Schizosaccharomyces pombe: one gene and its partners. Changing the gene in region 3 together with the main gene of any one other region gives a genetic interaction. Each region holds a gene or a part of one and is shown on either strand. Other genes may lie near its edges. The genes, in order: sst6, top1, gad8 and hse1.

Region 1 (7,668 bases), on a different chromosome or scaffold from region 3:
TTTGTATGAAAAAACACCACTGTGAAAAATAATGCTAAAAGCAAAAAGTATTTTAGCAATAAAGTAGGGCCAAGAGTATCCAACAATGGTCTTGCTGCTAAGTGGAGTTAACCATAACAGATACTGAATCTGTTGACACATGTTAGTAATCCAAAATGCGAGAACCAAAACAGTTAAGCAGGCACTAATAACAGTCATTATCCTTTGTGTCTTTCTATCATGTGCACAAATTATACGAACTTGAATCATCATGCTCATCTCAGCAGTAAAAATGATGACCGGTGCAAGCAACAAAATTAAAATATTAAACACATGGACATACATATGAACCATGTTTAAGATAAACCCGTAATTAACCAGGATACTGTAGCTATTGCTGCATATGGTCACTATATTCAAAATGGCCCGAAGACACATTGCAACAATACTTGCCGAATTAAAAACAAAAACTGGGTGTTTTCGTTTTTCGGATGATGACAATAGACAAACCATCAAAATGGTAAGGACTCCTAAAGCAAGTTGGGCAGACAAAGTCATTCCAGTTAAAAGTCTATCTCTTTCATATGCATCAATTGTTGAAACTGGCACTTCAATCTCTCCTACAATAGAGACAATGGTAATATTTTGGTGAATAATTGCGGATGCATCGGGAATAGTAAAGTCTTTCCACCATGGTTGTCTCATAATGTCAGAGGGAGCAAGAACAATATAAACCCGAGATTTTTTTAGTTTAAGAAGTTTAAAAATGTGATTTGTAAAGCACTTGATGACTCAGTTTCCCAATGAACTGTTATGCCAATAATTCCTCTTTGTTTAGAATTTCCAGAAAACACTTCTATGTCTCAAAAGTTAAATTTTCGCTTGAAGATATACAGCAAATTTCCAAATATATGGACTCAAAACACACCAATGGAATGCTGTTCGAACAATTGCAAAATTGTAGTTTAAACAGATTCGAAACAAAAAACAAAAGGATTTACTATTGTTTAGACAGTTCTTAAAAATTATTTTTCATCTTTGTCAGAGATCTAGCTGAATTATATAACATTTTTTGTGGTACTCCATTGTTCAGATTTCCTATTGTTAACTTCATTGTCTAGTACCACACCTGAAACAATAGAAATGGAGGAGGTAATTATTAATCAAAGAGATAAGGAGAAATTAGGTGTAACTAACTTTATTGAAGTATGAAAAGTTTAGAGCGTTGGCGTCAAAAGAGGCTGAAAAACGAGGGTATTTATTTCAAGAAGCTCAGCATGCCTATTCAGCAGGAAACAAGGCTAAAGCGCATGAACTAAGCCAAGAAGGAAAGTTATGTGGAGAGCGTATGGAAAATTATAATCGACAAGGTAATCTCAAATTCTCATTAAAAGCTGTGATTGTTAGTTCAAACCCTATAAACTTTCAATAATAGAAAAACAAACCCATCATGAGATTTTTCTTTCTTTCTTTTCCACTCTTTTTGTTTGGTATCTAATTCCGGTAGTTATCGGTCAGACAATACGCCAAACAATAGTAGTTATGACAATGAACTATTCTTTGTACAAAGTGAAGAGCTCTGAAACAGCTGAATAAAGCCATGTGATTTAAGAGAAAAATGGGTTGGCTTCTTTATAGAACTTAAAACACTGGGTTTCTTCAAACCCATATTGGCTTCGAGAAAACAAAATAGAAGTGTTTTATGACTGTGCTAATTATTGATAGCGGCTTCAGCCATTTATTTATATAAAAACTCTCAATGCAATCCCGATGAAATTGATTTACATGGTCTGTACATCGATGAAGCTGTACAAGCAGTACAACAGCGAATTGAGAATTGCATCCGACGTGGTGACAATCATTTACATATGTATGTTTTACGCTTAATTAAAATTAACTCTTTTTTAGTATAGTTGGGCGCGGTAATCACAGTGCTAATCATGTGGAAAAACTACGACCTGCAATTGTGCGAATGCTTGAGCAGCAATCTATAAAATACAACAGTGAAGTAAATGAAGGCCGCATTTATGTTTATTTACCATCTGCGACTTCACCTATTCAACCAAATTTCAATTGCATTCAAGAACCTCAAGAAGCATATTCTCGTCCTCAACATTCAACTTTGACTGATCAAGTTGAGCCTGAAAAAATTGTTGAAGAAATTGCTACGAATTGTTTTCCTCGTCTAAAAACATGTTGTGCCATCATGTAACAGTTTGTTTTTTGCTTGTTAACACAGGCGACCATGGATACCAAATTGGGTCAACAAAATTTTAGGCGGTGAAATTATTAGCCAGGTGTCTGTGTATTAATCTTTTATTTCGATTCGGTCATTATTGTATTTATTGGGTAATTTAGGCTCTAGATTTTTTTGCTTGTTGCAACCTTAGGATTTTTTTTTTATTTCAAATAAATATTGAAACTTTTTTTAATAGATTATTTTATAGGAATATTTTTTTAATAGGTTTTCTCTGCTTTTTGTAAAAAATTCATTTTTATTATTATTTTAAAGATAATAAATCTAGCATTATATTGCCTACTAAAAGTTTTGTATAATTTAATTTATTTAAATTTTGTTTATTGTTGTTCATTAATTTTAACAACTGATTATATCAATTTCATTAAACGGTTACATAAATTTGAAAATTGTTTACACATAATAATAATAATAAATTTAGGTTCGATAAAATTTCGTAAACAATGACTAGTACATTCAACTGAATTATATATATATATATTTTTTTTTATTATTCTTTAAGCTGATAGAGAGGGTAGTACTAATCGTAAATAGTCAGTACCTCTACTGTACGTAAGCTCGCAATTCTTTGCTCGAATTATTTACCACAAAATTGCCTTGCCTTGACATATATTAAATACAGCTACAATTTTCAAGCTTATTTGCTGAAAATAATTGTCGAATGAATATATTTTAATTTGACAATATTTAAATTGCTTCCGCAATCATGGATGATGAAGTCTATAAACAAAGACTCACAGCTTTGAATAATTTGCGTATTGTCATTTTCTTCGATATTCTTATTATATTGTTAGGCTACATAGGAACTTGGAACTTAAAAACTTTACAATTAGTAAATCCTAGCTTATGGTCATTTTCTCCATCTCTATGGATATACATTAGGTATCTTATTTTATGTCGGAAGGAATTTCTTTCTTCCGGCGTATTTTTTAACTAATTGAGATTCATGAGAATCTTAACATGAAGAAGTTCTAACTATTTCAATCAGGGGAACAGTTCTTTGTGCAGATTGCATATTTACAGCGGGTTCGGCAAACGAATACTCTGCCGTTCAAAATTCTGTGTTCCAAGTTTCCAGCCTTATGTTTTATGGCTTGATGATGGAATTTTTTGGGTATTCTTTTGATGTATGTATTTATTTATTAAATTTTCTGGAGAATTCTTAATTAATGATTGTAGAGAGTTGGTTGCATGGAACTCGCTTTCATAAGCTTTTCCGCTGCTTGCTATTTTAATATAAGGTCAATTAAATCTCTATCTTTAAAAAATAAAAATTGGACAATAATCAGCATAATTGAAATTCCTATCAAACTGCACTTCATACTTAATGTTCTGCTGTTTCTTAAGTTTTCTGAATACATGCTTCCTTTACTTGGCAGAGTACATTTGTCCTATCATTTATTTGCATTATGGGTTATTAATTTGTATATTTGGATTAAGTTGATTGACTCCAAGGATTTTGTACTAGGATTTCTTGCAGGATTATCCGTACTTCTTTTAAATACGGGTTCATTAATTACAGCAAAACCACTTATTTCTTACTTCAATTTATTAACTTCCTGTTTAATTATTTTCCCTAGTATATGGATTTATGCAATTGTAAGCAAAAATTATGTTATCCAATCTAACCTTTCTAGGAAAAGAAAAATTTTAAAAACCTAAGTTATGAGGACGATGATTATCGAAATTACTGGTAATGGAGATATTTTTTACAAAAAAATAAATAAAAGAATAATATTTATCTTGTCCATATATTCCTAAAAATGTCGACACTGAAATTCACATCACTATAATCTTAAGAGTATTGAAGCATTTCGTCCCGTATTAAAAATTGTTGTCTAGCTAACAGCTTTATTCCCTTTAACCAAGATGCGGGCATGATTGATTCATGATGCAAGGCCTGATTCAGGGCTCGAATTCCTTCATCCAGTTTTTCGTCCTTACGTTTAAGTTCATAATATTTTAGTTCTCGTTCGGAGGGTATTATAAATAGTTCTTGAACAGATAAGTCTTTTAAATTGTCCAACTTCTGTAGGGCTTCTCTGGCTTTTCTCCTTCTTTTTCCTAAGATGAATCTATTGTTTTCAATATTTTTAGCAAGTGTTTCTAAAGCGTGTCTTTCTTGATCCAAAAGCCTTTGCTTAACCTCTAAGTTTTTAGATATTCGTATTTGTGAAATCCATTTTTCTTCAATAATTTTGTTCTGTTTATGTAGAATTTGCTGAATTTTCACAGGGTCAACATTGGGCTTAAAGTCTTCTGAATACAGTAGCTCAGACGAACCTTTTAAAGGGGTTTCAATATCTGTATCTATAAGGTTGAGCAAACTTTGGGACTCAATTTTTTTTCCTGTCGAGAACACTGAAACTTGTTGAACGATCTGACCTTTAGAAACTTTGGGTTTTTGCGGTAACAGAGCAGGCTTTGAATATTTGTCTTTAAGTGAAGGCGTGTCTTTGGTAATTATTATCTCATTTTGTTCAGGTTTTGGTGGAATAGGTTTTTGGGCAGGAATGTTAGAACTTGGTCGCCTCAATGAAACAGAATCGTGAACAAGCTGTTGTGATGTAGCTGAAAAAGGTGCTGTATTCAGAGAAAAAAGCGTACTTTGAAAAGAGGAAGAATTGGAATTTGTTTCTTGTCCTAAGGAACTATTAGCGGTAATTTTTAAAGGCTTAGGCGGTAGTTTGGAAGGTAACGCAGGCACCTTTCGGAAATGTTGTTCAGAGGAAGATGAGAATGGTTTAGCAGGGATAACAGGAGGAGCTTCATTTTCTTCTTTCACTTTGAGCTTTTCAATAGTATTAACGAGTTTTGTCGGCAGTTCAGGAGGAGAAGTATGTTCTCTTTCAAAGTCTTGCTTTATTAGAGCTTGAACTAAACGATAGATATTAAAAACAGACCGTTCATTTTTCCAAAGTTGTAGTAGAAGACTTGTGTACTTATGCTTTCCTCCTTTTTCATCCAATAATTGTACTATTGGCGGCTGTGATGGATAATAAGAGCGAACCGTTATACAAGCCGAGGTTAAAATTGTTTTGTCAAATGCTGGAGTACTCAAATAAATGCGGACCTCTTCTATTTTGTTTTCGTCTTGCGTATCTACTTCAATATTAATTGCTTGAAGTGTAAACGTGTCTTCACATTGTTTTCTAAACAATAATTCTAGTTCTTCAGCAAGTCCATTCTTCCAAAATCTAATCTATTTTTCAGGTTAAATTGGTAAAAAAACAAGCGGTACCTTTTCAATTGTATTCAAAATTCGTGAAGGGTGTTCATTGATTGCATGATCTGACATGGTAAAAAGAAACGAGGCGCACTTATGCAAGCACGTGATTAAATCTTATAGGATTTAAAGAAATCAAATAAAGTTAGCTGGTTTTCGAAAACCTATTAATTGCAAGCACCACTTGTGAAATTGATTTTGAACAGATGGTCGTTTTCTTTACGCATTTTATCGTTGTAATAAATAACGTCAATGCTGCATCTCTTTTTTAAATAAACTGTATAATATTACAATATATCGTTATATCAAGCGATAAAACAGGTAACGATACTCAAGATTATTTTCAATTGATGCCATATTAACATTAACGCCAAGTTTATTTTAAGTGCTACATACTCAATTTCTGAAATTGACGATCTGATAGTATATAATATTAGGATATGAATTTATAGACTGATAGGAGCAGTTATGAAAAATTCACAAAGTACCAATACGCTCAGATTTCTTATTCAATATTTTGGAAATGTGTCGTATCCATAAATATAAACTAAGGTAGCAACTATAATTGAGGATCATTGTTCTCACATACGTATTCCACTTCTCTTTTAACACCAGCAATACTACAATTGCAAGACTATTGAAAGGTTAATTACGGCAATAAACCGAGCAGTTTGCATTTTTATTGAAAGAATTATCTGATATTTGTTTATCAATAATGACAATTTGGAACGTAGCTGCATTGACAGGTAGGTTCTAGCACAAGTAATAGACTGGTATATAACCTTTATATACATTTACTTTTTGTTAAACAACCTATTTTACGTTATCTAACAATAAAAAAGGACTGCTCAGCGTAGGTTTAGGTGCATATGGATCTCACGGGTTGCAAAAACGTGTTCAGGATCCACATTTATTGAAGGTAGGATTTATGCATTTTTATTTCATGATTGTAACTATTTTAACATAAAATTATAGTCATGGTCCACTGCTTGTACTTACTTGATGTTCCATTCATTGGCAACCATGGCCGTTTCTTTGCATCCAGTTTACGGGAAATCTCGTTGGACGGGACCCCTGCTGATTACAGGAAGCTGCTTGTTTTCTGGGACAATTTATGGACTTTGTTTATTGCCTAAAGGACATAGTCTGCGACGAATTCTTGGGCCCTTGACACCAATTGGAGGACTAGTGATGCTTACAGGGTGGGCTACAATGCTAGTTTAAGAGAGCTTTAATTTAGATGCTTTTTGTTTTACCAGTACAGACGCAAGTATTAATGATGTCGTTTCTAAAATACTAGCAGATAAAGAATATGTTATGATTTTATTGGGTCCCAAGTAAGCGAACAAAAAAGAGAGAAAGGATATAAGGGGAATACAAGTATTTAAGATGAGTTAACGTGTTTACTTCAAAGTAATCAAATCCTTTTCCAACAAGTAATTGACGATTTTTTCAACACACTCTTCAATCGATTGAGTATGAGAAGAAACCACGATTTCAGGAGAAATGGGAGCCTCATAGGGAGCAGAAATTCCTGTAAATTCTAAAACCGGTTAGCCTTAATTTTATAGGGTCATCTATTTAAAAACATTGAGAAAATGGAATTTCCTGAGGGGAAAAAGTATCTTTAATGTGTAACAATTACCTACCTTTAATCTCACCAGCACGAGCACGCTTGTACAAACCCTTTGGATCACGCTGCTCGGCAACTTCCACTGGACATTCAACATAAACCTCAATAAAAGGAAGTCCATCTTTTTTATGAAATTCGCGTGCTTGATCACGATCCTTGCGATAAGGAGAAATGAAGGAAGTTACTGCAACTACACAGGCATCTGCGAAAAGCTTGGCAACATGACCTATGCGACGAATGTTTTCGTTACGATCTTGTTCACTAAATCCAAGATCACTGTTTAAGCCGAAACGAACATTATCACCATCCAAACGGTAAGTTGTAACTCCACGCTGAAGTAAATACTGTTCCAAAGCACAAGCGATTGTAGACTTTCCAGACGCAGATAATCCAGTCATCCAAATGGTCATACCAGGATGACCCACAAATTTGATACGTTCTTCTTTAGTGACGGAACCAGGGTGAAATGTAATGTTAGTAGCCATCGTAAACAAAAATGTGAAAATCCAATCTTCTAATTAATTGTTGGAAAAATCAAATGGTACGAATTTGAAAAATATTTTACAACTGTTA
Region 2 (8,671 bases), on a different chromosome or scaffold from region 3:
AAGCTATACATCAAGTGGGAGGTATAAGCTCTTCTGTTATATATACGTTACCATTAAAAACAGTGTTTTGGCCAGCTTTCACCAAGCGCAAAAAACATACATGTTAACGAAACAATTCAATTGTTTTTTTTTTAAACTCTATGGTTCATGAACAAATCTTGCAATCATTGATAACCTTACTGATGCTACAGAAAAACTAAATCTCGGCGAAACAATTTTTTACATTATTCAAATGACATCGTAGTAATCGTTAATTCCTTCAATAATTAAACAAGATAACTCAACACACACTATAGTTACGGAATAATAAATAGATTTTGCTAACTTAGGTGCTGTAACATTACTTTCAGTTTGCCTTGTCAACAAGTTTAAATAGCAAATTAAAAGAAACTAGTTTGTTTGAAACTATAAAACCTTTTAGCTTAAAAACGAAATGAAAAATTTTCCTAATTTTATCAATAAAGTAGTTTTTATTTTATTAAGTATTGTTAGTGAAATACAATTGCGATGCATGTCAAGAAGCTCTTAATTCACTATACATGTTTTAAAGTCGCAATACCTTTTAAAGTTAACAATAACTGTTGGAAAAATCATTCCGTTCTTTTCTATTTTATTTACGTTGTGTAATATTAACATCTAAGGGTTTTGCTTTGTGAAATCAAGTGTCATTCTAGTGTTTCCCTCTACCTCCATTTAACTGCAGACGTCCTAAAGAGTTGGTGGACTCAATTCATGGCTTGATGACTACAGACGTTAAAGAAAAAGCTACATTTAAGTTGTTAGATTTAATAGACAGTGTATGTGGATTTGAAAAGTGACATGCTAATGATAATGTGTTAAAGGTTACTGGGAAAAAAAGTTTGCTCTTGGAACGTGATCTGTCAGGAATTTTAGGTCAAATAGTTACTACCAATACTTTACAAGAACATGGAATACCTCAGGTTTATTGGTTTAATGAAAATATTCCAAATGATATTGAGAAAAAGACAATCTACTTGTGCAGACCAACTTATGAAAATGCCAAACTAGTTGCTACTCATGTTCGTCAATTTCAAAGGGATATGTTACGCATTGAGAGCACAGTAATTGTTTTGCCTACCTCAAATATCCTCTTTGAGACGGTACTGCAAGAGGAGGGTGTGTTTGGAGAATTACTTGTGACTGAATGGCCGTTACATGCCGTACCCTTGGACAAGGACCTTTTGTCATTAGAACTTGGTCCAGAGAAATTGGAAGAAAGCTTACTTCAACGAAGTACAGATGCTTTAATTGATTTTGAACGCACTCATGGACGGTTTCCTCGAGTCTCTGGGAGGGGCCCCTATGCTGCAAAAATGTTGGAATTATTAGAAAAAACATACCAGGAAGAAGCAACAATAAACTTTGGGAAGGTGGAAGGAGAGATTTCTGCTCTCTACGATAGCGTTCTTTTAGTTGATCGATCATTAGATCGTATTACACCGTTTTTGACTCAACTTACCTACTTTGGATTTTTGGACGAAATACTTGGAATTCAGCAAAGTATGATTCATATTTGTTTATTATTTATCTAACTGATTAGTGAATGTCAAACTTCCTTCATCCTTGGTTAACCGAAATGAAGCTTCAAATACTGGACCGATGAAAAAGTTTTCTTTAAGTTCTTCTTCCAGCCAAATTACCAAGGAAATTAGAGACATAAATTTTAATTGCATAGGCCCTTATTTAAGCAAAATTGCTCGAAAACTATCCAGCGATTTTGAAGGTCGACGTCAAGCCAAAACTGTAAATCAGATTAGAGACTTCGTTTCCAAACTGGGTTCCTTACAATCGGAGCATACATCATTAAATATTCGTAAGTATTTTTTTCTTTTGATTTCCATAAAAAATTTTATTAATTAGATAGACACTGGTCTCGCTGAAACTTTGGTGCAACACACAAAAAATAATTACTTTCAAAAGCTACTACAACTTCAGCATTTGCTAGTTTCTCATGCCGATTCTTTTACTCAATTCAATTTATTAGATGAAATTATCTATGCCGAAGCACCTGTTGAAGAGGTTTTTCGAGTACTTTGCCTTGCAAGTATAACTACCAATGGTTTGAGAAGAAAAGATATAGATCATTACCGTAGGGAAATCACTCAAACATATGGTTATTATCACCTTTTAACATTCCAAGCCTTGATAGATGCAGGACTATTGCGCCTCCGGCAATCCACTAATATTTCACTTCAAAAATCATTGTCTTATTCTACATGGTTAAACACTTATCCTTTGGTTAAGGACGAAGTTGATGAGCAGAATCCTGAAGATATAGCCTATACGTACAGCGGGTACGGTCCTTTGTCAGTCCACATAGCATATGACATTTTAAAAGGCAGAGACAATGAAGAAAAAATTCTTAAGTTGCAAAATATGCCTGGAACTTACGTTGACAAGTGGACATTAGACCAGGAAAAGGTCATGCCTAAAAATTTGAAGACAAACGTACCAGGTAAACGTCGTGTTTTAGTTTTTTTCATCGGTGGTTGCACGTACACAGAGCTGGCTGCATTTCGTTTATTGCAAGAAAAAGAAGATTTATATGAATTCACATTTATGACTACGGGAATGGTAACTGGAAGCTCTCTAATAAGAGCTTTTATTCCAAATATTGAATCTTTGAATGAGTGATGATCACCCAGTTTCATTAATTTGTTCAACAGCTAAAGACGATATTTAATCTCATTTTTTTTCACTAAGAGAATCCCATAATTTTAATTATTGTTTTTTTTATTAACCCACTTTATTAAGTCCTTAGTAGTTTATGAATTTGAAGTGGCATTAAAGCTTTCCCTATATGCTGTTAAGCTATTTGCTATTTACTGCCAAAATATTAGCTTACATATTAAATAATAAACCTCCAATATTTGGCAGCTAATGGCTTATTGTATCAATCAAATCACCTTTTTTTTGTTTTGGATATTCAGTGGCTTTTGGTATTGTTTACAATAAATGTAAAGTTAAAGCTTTCAAAATTATTAGAGATTACTTTTCTCGTACTGTTAATGGGTTTATTTTGAAATATGCACATTTATAGCTTTTTGCTGCAAGCTTCGTAACATTAAATTTTATTTTATTTGAAAATTCCAGTTTCTCATTTAGCTACTAATTTTTACAAACATTAATTGTCAATATTTGGTTGTCATGACAACGAGTGTACGTACTCAATATTAATCCTTCTTTTACTGTATTATAGATGTATGCAAACAATTCACAATGTCTTCGTCTGGTAAGGTTTCACGTAATTTAACAACATTTGCAAAATTTTTAACAACTGAAAAGATTCAGATTCCGTGTCTTTATCCATTAGAAGGAGGCAAAGACGCGGTTCATCTAAACGGATTAGTATGAAGGAGTCGGACGAAGAGAGTGATAGTTCTGAAGTATGTTCACAACATAATAATTAAAGATTGTTGACTAATTGTTTAGAATCATCCTCTTAGTGAATCGTTGAATAAGAAATCCAAATCCGAGAGTGATGAGGATGATATACCGATTAGAAAGAGACGTGCTTCTTCAAAGAAAAATATGTCCAATTCAAGCTCTAAAAAAAGAGCTAAAGTAATGGGAAATGGTGGTTTAAAAAACGGAAAAAAAACGGCGGTTGTAAAAGAGGAAGAGGATTTCAATGAAATTGCAAAGCCCTCACCGAAGCATAAACGTGTTTCTAAAGCGAATGGAAGTAAAAATGGCGCGAAGTCAGCTGTTAAAAAAGAGGAAAGTGACACAGATGATTCAGTTCCATTGAGAGCTGTTTCGACTGTATCTTTAACTCCTTACAAATCAGAACTGCCTTCGGGAGCTTCGACCACGCAAAATCGCTCACCAAACGATGAGGAAGATGAAGATGAGGATTACAAGTGGTGGACTTCAGAAAATATCGATGATACTCAAAAATGGACTACATTGGAGCATAATGGTGTAATTTTTGCTCCACCCTATGAACCTTTACCAAAGAACGTCAAGCTAATTTACGATGGAAACCCCGTAAATCTTCCTCCCGAAGCAGAAGAAGTTGCTGGTTTTTATGCTGCAATGCTTGAAACCGATCATGCCAAAAATCCTGTATTCCAAGATAATTTTTTCCGTGACTTCTTAAAGGTCTGTGATGAATGTAACTTTAATCACAACATTAAAGAGTTTTCTAAATGTGATTTTACCCAAATGTTTCACCATTTTGAGCAAAAGAGGGAAGAGAAGAAGAGTATGCCGAAGGAACAGAAGAAGGCAATAAAGCAGAAAAAAGATGAGGAAGAGGAAAAATATAAATGGTGCATACTTGATGGGAGAAAGGAGAAGGTTGGTAACTTTCGTATTGAACCTCCAGGGTTATTTCGTGGTCGAGGTAGTCATCCTAAAACTGGTTCTTTAAAGCGTCGAGTATATCCTGAACAAATTACCATTAATATTGGTGAAGGTGTACCCGTTCCAGAACCACTCCCTGGGCATCAATGGGCGGAGGTAAAGCATGATAATACAGTGACCTGGTTGGCAACCTGGCATGAAAATATAAATAATAATGTCAAATATGTCTTTTTAGCTGCAGGAAGTTCTCTAAAAGGACAGAGTGACTTAAAAAAATACGAAAAGTCAAGAAAGCTTAAGGATTATATTGATGATATCCGTAAAGGCTACCGGAAAGATTTGAAAAGTGAGTTAACGGTTGAGCGTCAAAGAGGAACTGCCATGTATTTAATTGATGTTTTTGCTTTAAGAGCAGGAAATGAAAAGGGTGAAGACGAGGCGGATACTGTTGGTTGTTGTTCACTGCGATATGAACATGTTACACTGAAGCCACCACGAACAGTCGTTTTCGATTTTCTTGGTAAAGATTCTATTCGTTACTACAACGAGGTTGAAGTTGATCCCCAAGTTTTTAAAAATCTAAAGATCTTTAAACGTCCTCCCAAAAAAGAGGGTGATTTAATTTTCGACCGTCTCAGTACAAACAGTCTTAACAAATATCTGACTAGCCTTATGGATGGACTTTCAGCTAAAGTATTTCGTACCTACAATGCTTCATACACCATGGCCGAGGAACTTAAGAAAATGCCTAAGAACCTCACCCTTGCAGACAAAATACTATTTTATAATAGGGCAAATAGGACTGTTGCAATTTTATGTAATCATCAACGTTCCGTAACCAAAAATCACGATGTTCAAATGGAACGGTTTGCCGAAAGGATTAAGGCATTACAATACCAGCGGATGAGACTGCGAAAAATGATGCTGAATTTAGAGCCCAAGCTTGCTAAAAGCAAGCCCGAATTGCTGGCTAAAGAAGAAGGCATTACCGATTCATGGATCGTAAAACATCACGAGACACTTTACGAACTAGAAAAAGAGAAAATAAAAAAGAAATTCGATCGTGAGAACGAAAAATTAGCTGCTGAGGATCCCAAATCAGTGCTTCCGGAATCTGAATTGGAAGTTCGATTGAAAGCGGCTGATGAGTTGAAGAAAGCGCTGGACGCTGAACTTAAAAGCAAAAAAGTCGATCCAGGTCGTTCTTCGATGGAACAACTTGAGAAAAGATTAAACAAACTCAATGAACGAATTAATGTTATGCGTACTCAGATGATCGATAAAGACGAGAATAAAACTACTGCTTTGGGTACAAGTAAGATTAACTACATAGACCCGAGGCTTACTTATTCGTTCAGCAAGCGAGAAGACGTTCCTATTGAGAAGCTGTTTAGTAAGACGATTCGTGACAAGTTCAATTGGGCTGCTGATACACCTCCGGATTGGAAGTGGTAAGTCCTCTACGATTTAAGAAAAGTATCTTTCATTGAACTTTTTAAAAAAAAATTATTTATTATCATCCTACGGCAGACAAATTGTGAAAGTGCTTCGTAATTTCGTGACTTAATGATGTCTTGAAATGAATGCTAGCGTACAACAACTTAGTGTGCTGAAAGAAGGAATTAATTACTTCTAGTTTAGTGTTTAATAAAAATTCATACAAAAAATGCAAAGCTAAGGAAGTTTTTTCAGCAAAAATATAGACAGAATAAAATTTAGCACAAAACAAATTGAACGTGACATTTCATACTATCCCCATTGCATTTGGCTTTTTTTTTCATAATTACTGTTTACTCTTGAGGTCTTTTTCTTTAATATTGGTGAAATGCCTGTTACGATCATCAAATTCAATATACAAGCAAACTTACTCTTGTAAACAATTTTTTTTTTGTTTTTTTTTTTTTACAAATAGAAAAGGAAAGAAAAGCCAAGCTGCTGCTTTTTTAATCTTTATACCAATTACTCTTCTTTGGTTGTACTAAATAGTTTTTCAAGCACTTCTATACCATCCAAATTACTTTTTTCTCTAGCGTTTACATTTGACTGCCTTTTTCGCATCTTTAAACCCGGTTTCCACTTTTTCGTTCTCTTTGTCAGATTGGCACAAGTTCCGGTATAGCAGAAATATCAGTGGAAGAGATTTTGTCTCACTATTTGCTGGAGCAATCCAATGCAACCACGAGCGGATACAATCGGGTTGGTAAAGATTAAATTACGTAAAACAAAGTATGAACACACTAGCATTTGGATCCTACCTTCTACGAGTACCTACATTTACTCAACCGGATTCCTAAATATTCATTTTTAGCAGTTTCTCAATAGGAGATAGCCTTAGTTGGAGATTTCTTTTTCTTTTATTTTTTAGAACTGTTTATAACGCAAACTCGAAGGTTTGTTCTTTGAACTCACGATAAGTTTTTTTTCTTGTGATTGTAAAGGCTTGTAGTCATCAAGGATCTTGAAACATAACAGTTGATATATTTTTCATTTTTTTTGTTTTAAAATACCCACTTTATTAGTTCATCATGTCTACCCCCTTGATACCTCCTGCTCCTCCTAAAAAGACCCTTCAGCTTTACACTCCCCAATACTACGGACTTTGTACATTGGGTGGTTTGTTGGCTTGTGGTACTACGCACAGTGCCATTACCCCTTTGGATTTAATCAAATGTCGCAAACAAGTCAATCCAAATATCTACCCTGGTAATATTGCTGGTTTCAAGACTATCCTCAGCAAGGAGGGACTTCGCGGTCTGTATACCGGTGGTATGCCCACCTTGATTGGTTATTCTCTTCAAGGCTGCGGTAAGTACGGTTTTTATGAGTTGTTCAAACACAAATACTCTACTTTGGTTGGTGCTCAAAAGGCACATGAATACCGTACAAGCATTTACTTGGCTGCTTCTGCCTCTGCTGAATTGTTGGCTGATATAATGCTTTGCCCTATGGAGGCTATCAAGGTCCGTGTTCAAACTTCCAACCCTCGTTTTGCCAACACCACTCGTGAAGCGTGGTCTAAAATTGTCACTAATGAAGGTTTCGGTACTTTATACCGTGGTCTGGCTCCTTTGTGGTTCCGCCAAATCCCTTACACCATGATGAAATTTGCTTCTTTTGAGCGCATTGTCGAAGCTTTGTACACCTACATTGGCAAGCCCAAGAACATGTATTCAAAGGCCGAAAAGATTGGTATTTCTTTTGCTGGTGGTTACATGGCCGGTGTTCTTTGCGCCATTATCAGTCATCCTGCTGATGTTATGGTTTCCAAGTTGAATTCCAACAAAAAGGCTGGTGAGGGCGCTGGCGCTGCTGCTGCTCGTATCTACAAGGAGATTGGATTTTCTGGTCTTTGGAATGGTCTTGGTGTTCGTATAGTCATGATTGGTACTTTGACTGGTGCTCAATGGCTCATCTACGATTCATTCAAGATTATGTGTGGTTTCCCTGCCACTGGTGCTTAAATGCACTATCGTATAGTAAACCTTTCATTTTATGGAACGTCGCTTTTTAAATTTCCCCCCACTTTCTCTTATAGGCTCTTAACAAGTTTTACTGTTTTATCAGTGTTTAAATTTATATGTAAATTTTGAACGTGTAGTTCCTTTTTCTGTAACTCTTAAGTGTTTTCAGGAGTATATATCAGCTTATGGAAGATGTGATTAGTATTTTAGCGTTTTCAACTAATGAAGTGAGTCATAAAAATTTGGGCTGTTGTGGGAATCGAACCCACGACCACCATCACCCTAAGATGGTATCATACCACTAGACCAAACGGCCAATTTGCATGTAAAGAGTAAGAGGAAATTATATTACAGATGATTTAGCAAGAAGTGTTTACAATATTAGATATGCAATAAGAGATTCAATTCATACAAATATTAATTGACTTCTTAATCCTGGTTCCATTAACTATTTAAATCGCAATTGACTAAATTGCGATTATACAGTTGACATAATATAATTTGTTCGACAACTCATGTGTAGTACTGTGTTAACTATTCGATGTTAAACCTTCATTGGCTTCTGTAGTGTTTTGTTTTTATCAATATTCCTCGCATTAATCGCTTTGATGTTAAATTTATTAACCTTGAATAAATACTACATTAACAAAATTTCGTATATAGCTTACAAAAAGAATAATGCATTTCGATTACCAAAACGTAAATCAGGTCTGATTGTTATATTAAATTTGGATTGTCATTGTACATTGATACTTTTCATTGTTAAAAAATTAATTCTATTATAACTTGTTATTTCAATTAGAAGAAGGGTCGATCAACTATTATTAATTATTGTTAAATCCTAAGTTCCCTAGTTTTTTAGCAAATAAACATGTAGAATT
Region 3 (8,377 bases):
TGAGTGGTCAGTCACGGGTTCTTGTTTTGGGTGCTACTAATCGACCAGCTGACATCGACGAGGCCATTCGGCGTCGTATGCCTAAAGTATTCTCCATACCTCTTCCAAATGCCGAACAGCGTCGCAAGATTTTAGAACTTTATTTAAAAAAGGTACCGTTAGAAGCGAACTTTGATTGGAATGGAGTTGTTAATGCCACTGCTGGACTGTCTGGCTCATATATCAAGGAAGTCTGTAGATCTGCTTTATCAGTTCCACGCAGAGAGCTTTTTGACAAGCATGGAAATGATTTGGAAGCAATCAAATATGACATACAATCAGGCGGTTTGAGGTCTTTGAAGACGGAAGACTTTTATCATTATGAATCCTTACAAAATGTTTCCGGTATAGACGTCGAGTGAATTTATTAGAAAAAGTATTTATTGAATTTACGTCTCAGGGTTTATCATAATTTGAATTGTTTTATTATTCTACCGTTTAGTTTCCTTTTCTCTTAATATGTCAAGTCAACATATTGAGCGTTTGTACAACAGCCAATTTTAATTATTTTATTAAACGACTTCTGCCCATTGCACTTTCATCTTCAGTAGGTATCATATTCACAACGAACGGTCTTAGTAAATTTGTAAGATTGTAAAAACAAAAATGAAAAAATTGAAATCGTCTAAACTAAATGTACAATAAATTTAACTACCGAGCTTCTAGAGGAGCGATTTTACGTACCTACTTTACTGTCTACAAATCGAAATGAATACAAATACAACAATATGGTACAAAATGCATCACAAAAATAAATAACCGTGACAGTTCAAAAGAACATACATCTTATTTTTTTTAAAATGTTATTTAGTGTCTGTAACGGAAGGGACGCTCAGGGCGAGAGGCAGCGACAACGACAGTAGGGATAGAGTCGTAGCCAAGAGCTTTAAGCATATCCTTGGTGTCTTGATCAACGTTAATCTTGTCCTTCTCGAGCTCAGAGACTTCAGGAACGTATTGATCCTTGCGCTCACGCTCTTCTTCTTGAAGCTTGAAGGAAATACCACGGACAGGACCGCGTTGGATACGTTTCATAAGATGAGTCGTGTATCCAGCAATCTTGTTGCGGAGACGCTTGGAAGCAATGATAGCAACCTCATCGACAATCCTCTTATTGGTTTGGAAGTCCAATGTAAGACGAGGGTAGTATTTCTCGATAACTACGCGAGAAGCTCTCTTCGTAGTTTTGGTGCGTACACGACCCTATGTTTTGTCAGTAATTTCTATCCTCAAACCGGTTTCTTAACTATTCTATTGAAAGCCTTACCATTTCTGTTCCTGTGATGAGTTTACTACACTGAATTCTTGAGTTTGTACTGTGTGACTGCTTTCAAGTCCAAATTAGTTTATCGAATAAAGATATTCTTGTTTATTACAAAATACTAATTTAAGTAAAACAAAGTATCGTAGCGCGATATAATAATTATTAAGAATACTAAAGCATTATGTAAAATAGTTTAAGATCCAATTACCACAAACACTATAGAGTTGTGTTAATCTAATTAACGATAAAAAGTCCAGAAAACTTTACGTTTCACTATGTTTGATACGCTAACTAAACATAGCATATTTATGGTTTATTCTCTTATTCATCAAGTCGTGATTGCAGAGAAGTTCTCTGTTAAGATCTATTTTACTGATTTTTGTAATTGATATAAACATAAAGCAATTGACAACAAAGCCATATTCATTAGCATTGAACTCCGTTAATGTTAAATCAATGACTTTTAGCCGTGAAAATGTTCGTAGAAATTTACTATAGTTTTCTCTGCTAATATATTGTGATAAAACGCTTTTAATAAAACTGTTCCAAAAGGCAACATGGTATTTGAAATTATAATATCATAGCTATATAAATAGAGAAAAACCTTGGACCTGTTAGTCGCATAGCACAAGACAGTGCAGGTGCTCTTCAAAATGAGAAAGGGAAATAAACATTCGCTTCGGCAGTAAGAAAAGACCTTCAATCCAGTAAATGTCAACTTTGTGATATTTTTACAGAATCGATTCGTTTGATAAGCCGGAATTGCTTTTTTCTTGTTTTTTTAATACTCTGAGTTAGTTCTTTCTGATTCTACCTTATCGACAGACAGAAGCCGTCTTCCGGTTAAAGAAACCATATATAACGCAACAGATTTTTTTATTAAACAAAAATAACTATTCAGTGAATGAATTTTAACTTATTTTCTGATTGCAATCACGTTTCGATCGTATTTAGTAATTGCTGGTGGTGATATTGAAAAGTCAAAAACTTCAACTTCAGCCACCATTATTAATAAATCGTATTCAAAAGAGTTTTCTAAGTTTAATGATCTAATTTTCATATTTGAAATCCAACTTTTACTTCTCATTTTACTCAAGCTTCTTTGATATTCTACGCATCGGATCATCACTTTGCTCCACCATATAGGGACGAAAAATTTTGCACATGAAGCAGGATGCCTCCTCAAAAGTATCATTGCAACGTCTGCGCCCAAGATATAACAAGATCCATTCATATTCGGTGCGTAGAATGTGTTGACTTCGATTTGTGCATCCCCTGCTTTACATCTGGTGCCTCCCTAGGAACTCACCATCCGTCTCATCCGTATAGGATTATTGAAACCAATTCATACCCTATTTTCGACGAAAATTGGGGTGCTGATGAGGAACTCTTACTAATCGATGCTTGTGAAACACTGGGCCTTGGAAACTGGGCTGACATTGCAGACTATGTGGGAAATGCTCGGACGAAAGAAGAATGTCGGGATCATTATCTGAAAACCTATATTGAGTCGGATTGCTATCCATTAGCAAGCGTAGAGCTCCCTGGACCGGTGGATCGCATAGCATTTGCGGCACGGAAACGAGCTCGTATTGAAGCTTTTCAGCCTCCACCGATTATTCCTCAAAAGCCTCTAGCATCTACACCCCAATGCCACGAAATCCAAGGCTATATGCCGGGCCGTCTTGAATTTGATCAAGAGTACATGAACGAAGCTGAACTGCCCATAAAGGATATGAATTTTGATGACGATTTACACGAGTCAGCAAAGCATGAAATGCAACTTAAGCTGACTATGCTTAACATATATAATTCCCGTCTTACTCGTCGGGCTGTTCGTAAACAAACCATTTTCAATCACAACCTTTTAGATTATCGACGGCTACAGGCGAATGAGAAGCGCATGTCAAAAGAGGAACGAAACTTACTTAATAAAACAAAAGCATTTGCTCGACTTTTGACGGGCCCTGATTACCAAAAGTTCGTGAACAGCTATCACGAGCAAATAACCCTAAAAAAACAAATTTCTGATTTACAGGAATGGCGACAGATGGGTCTTACTACACTCGAACAAGGACATAAATATGAACGCGATAAAACGCAAAAATTCCTCTTAAGTAAAGCTTCTGCTTCATATGATAAGCAATTGAGGCATGTTAAGTCGTTTAACCAAACCACTTCCGCTCCTTTTCAAGTTCGTGACATTCAAAAGATTGTTCCTCGAAAACCAGCGACTCCCACAATGTTTTCTGCTTCCGCTGATCGGCAACTGCTTTCAGAGGATGAGCAAGCGCTTTGCTCAAAACTGCAGATTTTCCCTAAACCATTTTTGGCTCTAAAATTTGCCTTAATATCGGCTTCACTGACTTCCAAAAAACCATTTCAAAAAACCGATGCAGTTAATTTATTTAAACACTTAGACGCTAATAAAGTCGAACAGGTGTACGACTTCTTCCATAATGCTCGGTGGATTGGCGCTCCAACCTAAAAGTACTGGTTTCTTTTACCTTTTTCATATTACTCTTGTTTATTACCTTTACGTTTTGAAATGTAATTTTACTAATTACCCCTTCACCTTTAATTACATCTCCGTCTTTTTTTCCCTTTTCAATAGCCGTTACGTTCTTATGCTTAATAATTAAAAAGAGTTTTCCATCAATTTTCTACACTAGTAATTTCGGAAACTACAAGAACAAAAAACACTACATCCAACAATATCTGAGACTTTTTCTCAGCTGACAAAAAATAAATAATCTTCAAAGACTTGAGGTTGTCAGTAATAATAATAATAATAATGATAATAATAATAGTAATAGAAAATGATCTTGTACGACAAAAAAAGATGACAATAATGAGAAATGAACGAAGCTTTGGCCTTTATAACATACAAATATGTAAAAGAGGCAAGAAAAGCGGCATGTATGAGTAAAAATGAGAAAACTTTCAAAATAAACAAAGAAGTGTCAAATTCATCACCTAATGACACTTCCAGGTGCTATTGTATTAATGTCGTCGGATGTATCAATGGTTGTTGGTCGTTGATAGCTCCAATTGGCAAACCTTTGTTGAACGGTTTCAGATAAGTGAGAATCGGCAACAACACTATCCATTGGGATTTCCGATGTAAATTCAGAATCAAAATTACTAGTATCGATAGCTGATTCAACGCTTGGTTTAAAGGGTGGCTGTATCTTCTTGGCGCATAACTTTTTCCAGTCGATATCATCAAAGAAAGGGTGATTTTTTATTTCTTGCGCCCCTCCACTACCCAGCCGCTTCTCTGGAGCGCGGGTCAACAATCCACTCAATAAATCTTTTGCTTTCTCGTCAATGTTGTCTGGGAATCGCAAGGGATCTTGAAGAATTTTTCGGTACATTTCGTTTATATTTTCATCATAAAAAGGAGGAAGTCCTGTAATCATTTCGTAAAGTAGCACACCTAAAGTCCACCAGTCAACAACTTTTGTATAACCATGACCCAAAAGCAATTCAGGAGCGAGGTATTCAGGGGTGCCACAAAAAGTATTCGTTCTATCGGTTTTAGCCATGTTTAGCTTACAAAGTCCAAAATCACACAAAGCAATATGACCGGTGTAGTCTAATAATATGTTTTCCGGTTTTAAGTCTCGATAAATAACGTTGAACTCATGCAAACATTCCAAAGCAACAAGTAGTTCAGCAATGTAAAATTTGGCACGATATGTATCAAAACAGCCTTCTCTTTGTAAGTGATGAAATAACTCACCACCGTTAACAAAGGCCAGGACAAGATACAGCTTACCGGGAGATTGAAAGGAGAACTTTAATGGAACAATAAAAGGGTTATTAACTTGAGCAAGTACTGTCCTCTCAGCCAATGTGTGATCTACTTCACTGCGAGATACAATGTGGGCTTTTTTCATAGTTTTTAAAGCATAGATACGAGAAGTGTCACGCTTACGCACTTGCATGACTTTTCCAAAAGAGCCTTTGCCAACCACTTTCAATAGTTCAAATGCATCAATGGTTAAAGGGGTACTTTGATTGGGTTTGTAAAGCATTTGAACACGAAGTTCACCGCTACCCCCATGCAGGGGTACCCATTCGTCTGTAAGCTTGTTTACAATGAAAGAAGGCGACAGTTTAATCCCGCCTAGGAAAGCGTCATTCCCCATACCGTTGCGCGAGCGGCTGGATGAAGAACGAAGGTAAATATTCAGGGAGAGTTTGGAATAACGGGAAACGTCAAAAGTTGCCTGATAATCCCAGCAAGGATTTTCAAGGCTTGCAGTATTTAGAGCATCTACTAAGATTTCATTTTTGTCGAATTCAACGACGATATAAGGTAACCACCAAGCATGACTACGAGACCTTGCGTGTCCCGAGCCATTACTAAGTGGAGGGGCAAGTAAAGAATTGTCAATGGAAACCCCGTAGTTGGCAGGAACATGTCCCGACGGTAATTTTAAATTTCTAGCTTCTATAATTGTGACCTGCAATAAACCAGGCTGCACGACGGTACTTTGGGGAGACCGTTTATCCTCCGAGCTTTTCCGAGATTTTTCATCACTTGATTTACGAGAAGAAGTAGAGGATAAAGTACTGTTTTTCAGACCTCTAGTAAAACTAGAGCCGCCAGAGTTCAGGCCAATAGCGGATGCTAGATGAGTTTCTTTTAATTCTAAAAAGCGAAAAGCTGTTAGTATGAAAAAGAAAGACAGAGTGTGATAACCCGTATTATGGAATACATACTCTTTGTAAGTTTCCAGGACATTTCGGTAACGTCTGTTTGGAGTAGAAAAAAAAAATGAACTGATTTTTAAAAGCTCGCTTTCCCTCTATCTTTTCTTTTAATATAACGAAAATGATAAAGAATAAGGTAACGAGGCTGCAAAAAAGCTTCAATCTAACAAAAAACGTATTTATGGACTAATTCGAAGACAAAAACGGGAAGTGTACCAGTAAGCGAATACGAACGAACAATCAAATCAAATCCAAAAAAAAAATAAAATAAAAAGTAAGCACAAGTTGCAATTTTTTTTGAATAAACGAAAGGGGATACAGGCGTTTGGTAATGTCAGTATAGTAGTAAATTCGTCAAAGAAATCTAATCCCGATAAGTAGTAAGCAAGGGTGTTGATTTTAAAATTCAAAATAAATCGCAATCTCTTTTATTCCAAAATCCCTACTAAAGGAATGCTTCGTTGATAAAGTCGATTTCTAAGCCGATTTTGGTATTACGACTTTGAGCAAAGTCGCCTTCACCTCGCGGAAATTTTGACGAAATTGAAACCAATCGACAGCACTAAATACGTTAAAGTCAATGAAATAAAATTTGATGTCAAAAATGCTTTCGTTTGATATTCCCTTTGTTAGGTCGTATTGGCAGTCAGTAGATGTGGCCAGCTCGGATCATCCGTATTCCTAAAATACAAGTGGTACAAGACAGCAGCTTTTTGCGGCAGAACAACGTGAGTTCGATAAAATATTATAAGGAGAGCTACCGATACGGTCGGCACATTACGCAGGTTTGTCGTATAATGATCAAAAATTATAGACCCTTTTCTCGTACGATTGCACTATATATAAAAGTTCTTTGCAATGGTGTTTTACATATCAGCTATTAAATTAGTTAACTTAGTAATGTCAAAAAGATGGAATATTAATATAGAGAAATTAAAAGTGCTGGTGTACTCTTGTAAGTGGTAACTTGCTCAAGTTTGTAGTGACCTAAATTGAAACATAGGATTTATACTACACGTGTCAAGAAACAGCACTCAAATGGATCAATTTACAAAACGAAGTATATAGCAAAACAATACAAATAATTATCTTGACAATTATCTGCGGACAAACGCAAAATGCCGTTTACGCGTATGTGTAGCTTAGCAGACCAATTAACTTTATTTGTTTTAAAATAATTATAGAAGCATGTAAATACCACCGTTAGGATTGCAATATCCTCTTTACAAAACAAGTCATTTATTTATGCCTTCCATCAGATTTTTGCAACTTCCAAGTACGATGCGTTTTGTAAAATTTCAGTTCCTTGTGCAACAAGCGAAAAAAAAAGATAAAGCAATTTAACGGAAAAGCAATTTGTATACCAATGCTCTACTTTTAATACACTGGACGCTTCGTACAAGTCCTTCAAAGTGTATATAAATCCAAAGAGAACTGAAAAACAAAAAACATTTTCAAATAAAATAAAATAAAATAACATATAAAACAGAAATAAAACATGAACAATGAATTTATGAAAAGAACGAAATTTGTTGAAACTGATGACTCACTCAACTGTAGGCAAACCCTTACTTACCCATGAGAAAAGCAAATTCTTTTCGTAGTTACTTCTAGAAGGCTCCTCACTAGTAAAAGCGATGTTTCTTCAGAGTTTTGAATTTTCTCACAGAGAGCTCCCTTTGTGTGTTTTATTTAAAGGGATGAGACGAGTTTGCCAAAGCGCCTAAAAAAAGAAACCGGTTATCGAGCGCAGATATAGAATTGACAGTGTAAGTAGCAACAAAAATTTTAAAAGAGTAAAGTAGAATCAAAAACTATATCTAAGTTTAGAAAATCCCTAAAGAGAAATTTTCAGGTGAATGTTAGGGGGTAGGTTCCGGTTGAATTTTTAAAGGACTAAAGCGGCAAAAGCAGCAATGCTCAAGAGTGAAACAATCAATAATGAACTCTTGGAAAACCGGACAGGGGACCCACTCTCCATCAATTCGCGCCCTGTATTGGGAATGGATGCTGCGTATCCAATGGATCCGGCAGGTGCAGAAGTGTAAGTAGTAGATGGTTGATATTCGGTGTAACTATAAGGACTAAAAATAATATTAGTAATTTTACACAAACAAATAGTTTCCATAAAATGACAAGCATGACTTACAAAATGGTTTCTACACCATCCGACCAAGATTTGTCGGTGACAATCACAACATCGCTCACAGTAGTAGAGTAACTTGCCTGAGTTGAACTAGAATCATCATCCCTCTTAACAAATGGGGTCAAAGGAATTTTTGAGGGCAAAACACGATTAGCTAAATATACTGAGTTAGCTATTTCACATAGTCACAAAATATAAAGACAGAG
Region 4 (7,431 bases), on a different chromosome or scaffold from region 3:
AAGAGGGTAATTTGGATACTTTAAATAAATGCAACCTATTTCCAGGTCGCTCATTGCAGAGTCTTGGCATGATGCGGTTAAATAAGTTGTACATGATTGAACAGGAATAAAAGAAGAAGATTCACTTTCTCCTTAGATTAATCACCTTGTTATTTTTCTACAAAAGAGTTTTGACTAACAAGATTTTAGGAGGGAAAGGTTGCTTATGGACCTAACTTCAAACTTCATTGCTCCTTTTGTAACGCAGAACTTGGACTCCCAAACAATAAAGATTCGAGTAACGGCGTACGACTTGACAAGTCTAGTATATGTATTGACGATCAAAAAATTCATCCTTCCTTTATAGTTGCTTCGGAAATACTAACTTTGCGTGACATGTATGCCACTCACAAATTTGTCATTGTAGACGGCGAGCGAAGTATATGGACTTGGTGTTTCGTACCACACTTACCAATTTCTTTTCAAAAAAGTCCGTTTTCAAGCATTGAGTTTGCAAACAGTCCAATCTCTACCATAAAATTACTTTATCAACTAGAAGTTCCTCCCGATTTTACTAAAAGCTCCGAGGATTGGATGGACATACCCGTTTCAAGTCACGCCTTTGACGAAATTTCTCATGTTTTGGAAAAAGGAAATCTTTCTTTTCCGGTCTCTGCTCAAAAATTTGGTCCTTGGAAAGTCGGTTTACTGCCGAAATTTCATAAACAAATGATCTAATGTGTCATGTATCCTTTTAAATTTTTAATTGGCAATTATTTCAAAAAGTTAAATACTTTTTAATGTATCCTTTTTGAAAGAGAAATGAACCGTCTATTTTTTTGATATCTAGTTGTTATGCACATAGTATGTATATGTAAATTAATCATTTTTTTTCAATCCATTTGTTTTTGGTTTTGACCGAGCAGAAGCATATACTGCGCTGGATCCAAACACCAACAAAGCCCCAAATTTTACGGCAGGTCCCATTTCGTTTTCAAAGAGAATGAGGCTAAGACATAAACTCACAAATTTTCTGACGTTCAAAACAACACTGACTGTTAGAGCTGATGTTTCTGCCCCTAGCGCGTTTACTCCACGTACACAGAAGTACTGAGCCAACGTATTGAAGCACAAGTACCATACTCCGGAAGGTAAATTTAAAAACCCTTTCGTGTGGATTGCAAATAAATCATTCCACTGACTTCTTATGGGCCTTAAAAGGAACAAAAAGAAAGGAAGGGAAAGAGCATGAGTGTAAAATAAACTTTCACGCCAATCTGAGCCATATATTCTGTAGGTATTCTCCAATACCAATCCCATGATGGCACCAAGTATTTGAGTTATCACCAGAATAGTAAATCCAATGCCAAATCGAGTCATTGATTCTACATGCAAATGTAAGTCCTTCGCATTCCCCAACGTTGCTATTATGACACCAATAGTAAGTATGAAGACACTTCCAATTTGAAGACTTGAGTATCTTTTACCAGCTAAGATTCTGCCAACCGCCATTGTTGTTAAAGGTCCACTACTTCTTAAAATAATATGTACTGGTACTGAAATATCAAACCCCAAGGCCACATTATTCAAAACATTAATAGCAAAGAACATTACTACAACCACAAACCATCGTTTACGCGGCACCTTTGGATGTTTCAATGACTGAACGTCGTTTAGCAAAAAGTATATCAAGCCTTCAATAGTAATCAGTATAAATTGCGAGAACGTAATCAGAATACCACTGCTTGGGAATTCTCGCACGAGTGCTTCAAGCGCATATGCGTTTGAACAGCAACCTCCAAATATGAAAGACAATGCAGATGCTATCATTCTAATGCTTCCTTTGGATAATTATAGTATTTGTGAACCAATGTCAGCTTCTTGGTAATCCTAAAGTTATGGAAAATAAAAGAATCGACTGCTATATTGTAGTATACCAAAATGAACAAAAGGCTTCAACAAATAATGTCTGTTAAAATAAAAGAATGTGTAAAAAAGAATCAGTTAATTCTTATGTAACAAATATGTAAATTGAGGTCGAATTTGGCTTAAGGGAAGTGTAGAGGTGAAGACAATTAGACAATCGCGGGCTTTGCTTTCGCGCGTTTTGGTATTTATTATATTCATACATATTTTTTAGAACGCAATTTTGTAAAAAGGTTTATTCTAGTTATATTTTTATTTTTAAAATAGGATCGATGAGATTCGTTTACACCTTTGTTAAAACTAACAGTCGTGTAACCTTTAATTGAGAAAGTAAATTAAAATAAAAAAAATTGTTTTATTAAAAATATCTCAATAATTATAACCATTAAATAAAAGCATAATAACTAAGCACTTGCTTGCAAAAACATTAACTTGCAAAAAGCTGATGATTAGCTTTAAAAATTCCTCATCTCAGACATTGACTGTTCGTAAAGTTTTTCATAATCACGGCGAGCAACTAAAAGCCTTTCATTCAGATCCATGAGTTCTTCTTTCTGAGATGCGTATTTTTCAATTAATCTTACAAGCTTTGGACGCAGGGCAATCATCGCGTGATATTTTCCTTGAAGAGCATCATCATCGGCAGCATCAGGAGAGGTAGTCGATAAGGTATCAAGTAGTTCATCTATTTGAGGAAGCGCGTCAAAAACTTGCTGCTCCATATGTGCAGATTGACGTTGCTGCTCAATGGTAGGCTCAACGACTCGTTGCACATAATTGACGGGAAAGATTCCAACAGCATTTTTGCAAGAACCTTTCCACCAATCTTTATACACGCTTTCCAGGACTAATATAATATCTCCCTTTTTAAATGAAAGTTCGCCCTGCTCGGTTGCCGCGAAATCATAAAGCGCTCGAACGCGAGAAACTGTCGAAGCAGGAGAAGTAGCTAAGTTTGATTCCTGCCGTTGGTTCGTTTTCTGCAGCGGTTCATCTTTAGTGGATTGGGGGTTTTCCACTTTATTCGATTGCGCGGTCGATTCCGAAAGTGATAATGCTAAAGCATATTGAAGCTCCTCTTCTTCTCTTTTGAGTTCTAATTCATTCATCGCTTCTTTTTCTGGCTTTTTAGGAGCTCGTAAATCAACGATATCTAAGAGGTTAGATCATATTATCTTTAACTTGTCCATTCAAACGTGCATGAAACTTACCTAGCTTTCTAATTTTTTCACAAATATCTTGCATAAGACTCATGTTGGGATCTTTTTTCATTATTTCAGCCCATTCGTTGACAAGAACTGCGATTCTACTACGCACTCGGTTATGAGTTGTAGAGTCACTAGCTATTTTCAAAAGAGAATCCGTGAATGTTCTAGAGGAGATCTCTCGTACAATGGAAGTCTTACAATTTTTCACAATGGCATCAGTAAGCTAAAACAAACGTTAGATAAAGTAAATTTGCGCAATTCATTTTAAAATAGAGTGTATTGATATAAGGAACAATAAACAATTTGTAAAGCACAGACAATAGTATTCTCAGTGGTTCCAGATTGAATAATCATAAATTGATTGCTTCCTCCTCCTCAAAAGTGGTACAAACATACCGTCAAAGCCAACAATTGAATATTAGCATTCGCTGTATCCAGCCTTTTATTTAAAAATTTAATCGAGTTCCGACCACTACCAACCAGTTAGTGAAACGACTCTGATTACGATTAACTTACACATCTCCAGAAGTGCTAGATAGTTGATCGCACGCATCCATTATAACGTCCCATTTCTCTTTAGTATTCTTTTCATCAGTGGCTTGTAAAATAAGGGTCTCAATAGAGTTGGGTTTTCCTCGAAACATATTGGTGAAGAAGAGATGGCGGCGACCACTATGCTTATCCAAGACATATATATAACCTTGTAATAAATCGAGAAATTTTAGATCAATCAAATTGCTACTTGTTCTGTTAAAGGTGAATTTAATAAATTTCTATTTAGATAAATTCAAAAGCATGGTAAAGTGGTTGGTTTATATAGTCAACATTCATGGGTGCTTCTAAAAAAGAACTTGTAGCCGATTTATTATTCTTGGTTCAAAAATACGAGTCAATTTTTAAATATTCAGTAATATTTATACTTTTTGGGTTAAGCTTGGGTTCCTTTTAGAATAAAAAGACAGTTTCACTACCGAGTTGTATTTTCATGCTCAAGCAAACTGTATATTTAAAATACTGCAATACTCTAATCGGTCAAGTGTTTAGATTTTCTAACGAATGATGATGAATATAAAACTATGAAGCAACATTAAACCCTTGTCCTCATATATCAATTTGAGAATTCATTTATATATCTATTAAAACTAGTGTATTATAGTCGCAGCTTGCTGTTACTATATTTATTTCATTATTTTAAATAATATGTAAGCTCACCAAAAAGCATTACATTTCATTTAGCATTGGTTAGCATTCAAGGCTCAAACTAGGTGAATTCAATGTACGATATTTGTCGTCTAGATGATCGGTACAGTCCTTTTACATAGCTCTCTAATATACGAACAAAATACTCATAATTTGATTAATTAGACTTTTATTAAATGAAATCGTTTTTTTCTTTTTATATTCAATTAATTATGTAGTGACCTAGTCTGCTGTCAAATCTCGTACATCCTCTCCATATACCCTTGAGGTAGTTAACTTCTAGTCTAAAAAATTTGTTGATAAAGGTGCATTGCATGTATTCTTCACTACATCAGCTTTGTAATAAAGTCATTTAAGTGTCGGATTTCGAGTTTTTAATTGAAAAAGCTTGAATTTGACATTTACTCAGCAAAATATGGAAAGCAACCTTTCCGCCAAAGGTATTTTTCAACATGCAAGTGCTAATGCATCAGGGGAATTGTTTCAAGAGCCCGTAACAGAAGATCTTGAAAAGGTAATGCAGTCGAAAGGACTGTATTCGATGGAGGAGTTGTGTTCCATCATCCAAGAAGCATATGCTCCGCGAGTTTCGGTCCTATGTTCCCGAGATGCTGACGAGTTTGCCATGAGGAAGGGATATCCTAAGGGGTTTTGGGAATTGTTGTATCCTTTTGGAGACCGTATTCGTGGAAAGGTAAACCGTAGAGGAATGAATGGAGAAATGCTGACGTTGGAAAATTTAAATTTACATTTTGTCCCAATTGATGCTTTAGAAAGCCACTTAAGTGAAGCATCTTTTCCTTCACTTCGCTCGGTTTTATGTGAGCGATATCCAGGTCTTGTTTCACCTGAACCCCCTTCAGATTATTCCTTTGGCGTTCATTATAAAAACGTTGAACGATGGGCTTGGACATTGGCTCATGAAGGGAATTACCAAATGCCACTTCCTGTCTATGTGCGACAGTTACTAACTGGGATACCTATTACTCCTTTTGAAACTTTTTCTCATCCCGTTGCTCACCTTGTCGTAGTAACTTCGCATAATCCTAGTCCTTTTGAATCTCTCAGATCTTTGATTAATTCGATTCCCTACCTTTCCCTTCCTGCTTTCGTTTTCAATGATATAAACTACCTTTTCGTATATGTTCATGATGAAGATCAACATGATTTGGAGCTTTCAATGGCTATATTTGATACGATGAAGCAGACATTTGGAGATTGTGGATACTTTCTTCGCCTTCATTCACAAAAGGCTACCTTAGATTATGAACATACCGTTCCTTTTCCAACATCCTCTTGGTTGTCTGCTGAAGAACGTTTACACCTTTTATCTAATACGGATACTGAAATACGATTACTCTTTGAATCCGACAATGAATCACTGCGACGGTTATCTTCGCACATTGCGTTCAACGGAATTGTCTCTTATTTGGACAAATGCGTAAGAGCATGGGATGATCAATATGCTTCTCCGAGACGAGGGATTACCGGTAAGCTGTTATTTGCATCCAGAAAATATTTATCTAGTTCGAATGCTTCTACCAATTCTAACTATTTCCCCTCATCTAATGCCTATCGTCCATTTTCACCAGAGGCATATCTTAGGAAACTTGCCGACTATTCCTTCATGCTACGAGATTATTCTCATGCAAATCAGATTTATGAAATTGCATCAAGACAGTATGAAAATGATGGTGCTTGCTTATATTCTGCTGCCTCTCTAGAAATGATTGTAATAACTGAACATATTTTACACCTAAAAATGCCATATATGAGTTTGACGAACACATTGAGAATAAACGAGTATATGCAATCTGCTATGTTAAATTATTTGAATAAATCCTTCAATTCCTATTATCATGCTGCGCGCTGTTTCCTTCTCCTGGGACAATTCCTTAGTTGTTTACCAGCTCCAAAAGTGGACGATGCTGCTAACTGGAATGCAGGTTTGCTTTATTCTAAGAGATTGGGTCCTGTAGGAAGAGCAATGATCTTTCAACAAACTCACACTCTCTTTAAATCCCTTTCTTATTTAAAAACTGAATCTACGGACCCGTTCTCTAATAAGCGAACTCGTAAAGCCGCACTTTGGTGTGTATTAACTGCCGATGCTTGGTTGAGATGTCGCATTCCCTTTCGTGCCAAGCCTTTTGTAGAGGAAGCAAAATTGTTTTATGGAAAAATCGATTGGAAGGATTTGAAGGAGTGTGTTGCAGCACTTGACGAAGTCGAAGTCTCCAAACAACCTGCTTCTAATATTCCTTCTAGCTAGAAATGCCCCACTTTCAAAATGTATATTATTTTATTTACCAAATATCAAAATTTCTACAGGTTATTAATGTGATTATATATAGCGAAATAAACTAATAAGTTAATCTGATAATGAAAATTCGTTAAAACGAATCCAACGAAAATTAATGATTAGGACTGTGGTCCATCGGATCCCGTTTGTGAATTGGTAAGGTCAATAGTAAGAGGGGGACTAACTGAAGTGGCAGGAAAACCGTTAGATGTAGAAGGTTCGGTGGAAGATTCAACAGCAGTGTTCCTCAATGAATCATTTTTGTTAGTTGTTGATTGTTTTGCACGGTTGATGAGATCAGCAAAATCCTCAGCGTATGCCTTCTCCCAATCGCCCCCTCCTAGTTTTTCTTTTTCTACTCCAATTGATTTCGACTGAACGCGCTCCCAATCTATAAGTTGGCGAATTAAATTTCTTTTTGAAACAGGTTGTTTCTGGTCTAAATTAGAATTGTAAAGGGTAACCCATTTAGCATGTCGACGTTGTAATAGTTGTTTATGTCCATCGGTTGGAAGCCCCATCTCTGATAATTTGGAACGAATTTTTGATTCGGAAAGGAGTGCATAAGTTAGTTTGGGAAGCCGCACTCGATCTTTCAAGGGTAGTTCATCTGCAGAGTTAAACGACCTTAACCTGCGCTTCGTGATAGAATCATCATCTGTTTTGAATGATAGTAATGAATTAGATTTACTATTATCCTTATTTTTATAAGGTGAGGAAGAGGAAGACGGGGAAGAAGGTGAGTTAAGACAAGAATCCAAGTGTTGATTAATTTGATTATGAGGAACTAAATTTGAACATGCAGGGCAGTGAACT

The links.
Region 1: of gad8 (region 3) and sst6, changing one suppresses a phenotype caused by changing the other (phenotypic suppression), as found in Schizosaccharomyces pombe (one study listed by BioGRID).
Region 2: of gad8 (region 3) and top1, a mutation in one rescues a mutant of the other (synthetic rescue), as found in Schizosaccharomyces pombe (one study listed by BioGRID).
Region 4: of gad8 (region 3) and hse1, changing one suppresses a phenotype caused by changing the other (phenotypic suppression), as found in Schizosaccharomyces pombe (one study listed by BioGRID).

The regions. Positions count from the first base shown.
Region 1 is NC_003424.3:4,773,704-4,781,371, reverse strand, and holds sst6 (ESCRT I complex subunit Vps23), read right to left. Parts: upstream 5,684-7,668; 5' UTR 5,535-5,683; coding exon 5,478-5,534; exon of another isoform or gene 5,439-5,477; coding exon 4,032-5,438; 3' UTR 3,934-4,031; downstream 1-3,933. Other genes in the region: pheromone p-factor receptor Mam2, read right to left, coding at 1-684; SPOM_SPAC11H11.03C (uncharacterized protein), read left to right, coding at 1,123-1,131, 1,187-1,349, 1,705-1,849, 1,888-2,191; protein mug162, read left to right, coding at 2,943-3,118, 3,225-3,363, 3,416-3,835, 3,874-3,933; SPOM_SPAC1782.12C (uncharacterized protein), read left to right, coding at 6,178-6,208, 6,305-6,381, 6,438-6,686; met14 (adenylyl-sulfate kinase), read right to left, coding at 6,866-7,005, 7,112-7,580. UniProt on the Schizosaccharomyces pombe protein: Component of the ESCRT-I complex, a regulator of vesicular trafficking process. Binds to ubiquitinated cargo proteins and is required for the sorting of endocytic ubiquitinated cargos into multivesicular bodies (MVBs).
Region 2 is NC_003423.3:2,939,150-2,947,820, reverse strand, and holds top1 (DNA topoisomerase I), read left to right. Parts: upstream 1-3,224; 5' UTR 3,225-3,240; coding exon 3,241-3,253; exon of another isoform or gene 3,254-3,306; coding exon 3,307-3,407; exon of another isoform or gene 3,408-3,453; coding exon 3,454-5,784; 3' UTR 5,785-6,087; downstream 6,088-8,671. Other genes in the region: HOPS/CORVET complex subunit, vacuolar sorting protein Vps33, read left to right, coding at 741-797, 843-1,521, 1,562-1,834, 1,886-2,655; SPOM_SPBC1703.13C (inorganic phosphate transporter), read left to right, coding at 6,855-7,790. UniProt on the Schizosaccharomyces pombe protein: Releases the supercoiling and torsional tension of DNA introduced during the DNA replication and transcription by transiently cleaving and rejoining one strand of the DNA duplex.
Region 3 is NC_003421.2:910,796-919,172, reverse strand, and holds gad8 (serine/threonine protein kinase (AGC family) Gad8), read right to left. Parts: upstream 6,674-8,377; 5' UTR 6,057-6,673; coding exon 6,035-6,056; intron 5,964-6,034; coding exon 4,276-5,963; 3' UTR 3,935-4,275; downstream 1-3,934. Other genes in the region: yta4 (ATPase Msp1), read left to right, coding at 1-401; rps1702 (40S ribosomal protein eS17), read right to left, coding at 847-1,242, 1,307-1,309; SAGA complex subunit Ada2, read left to right, coding at 2,478-3,791; SPOM_SPCC24B10.06 (uncharacterized protein), read right to left, coding at 7,914-8,109, 8,175-8,325. UniProt on the Schizosaccharomyces pombe protein: Involved in a signaling module for sexual development and cell growth under stressed conditions. Required for G1 arrest under nitrogen starvation and for growth at high temperature and osmolarity.
Region 4 is NC_003423.3:1,070,725-1,078,155, reverse strand, and holds hse1 (ESCRT-0 subunit protein HSE1), read right to left. Parts: upstream 3,778-7,431; 5' UTR 3,758-3,777; coding exon 3,630-3,757; exon of another isoform or gene 3,586-3,629; coding exon 3,510-3,585; intron 3,337-3,509; coding exon 3,117-3,336; intron 3,059-3,116; coding exon 2,361-3,058; 3' UTR 2,203-2,360; downstream 1-2,202. Other genes in the region: ipa1 (mRNA processing protein), read left to right, coding at 190-717; yea4 (NST UDP-N-acetylglucosamine transporter), read right to left, coding at 859-1,809; TRAPP III complex subunit Trs8502, read left to right, coding at 4,729-6,585; rhp18 (postreplication repair E3 ubiquitin-protein ligase), read right to left, coding at 6,735-7,431. UniProt on the Schizosaccharomyces pombe protein: Component of the ESCRT-0 complex which is the sorting receptor for ubiquitinated cargo proteins at the multivesicular body (MVB).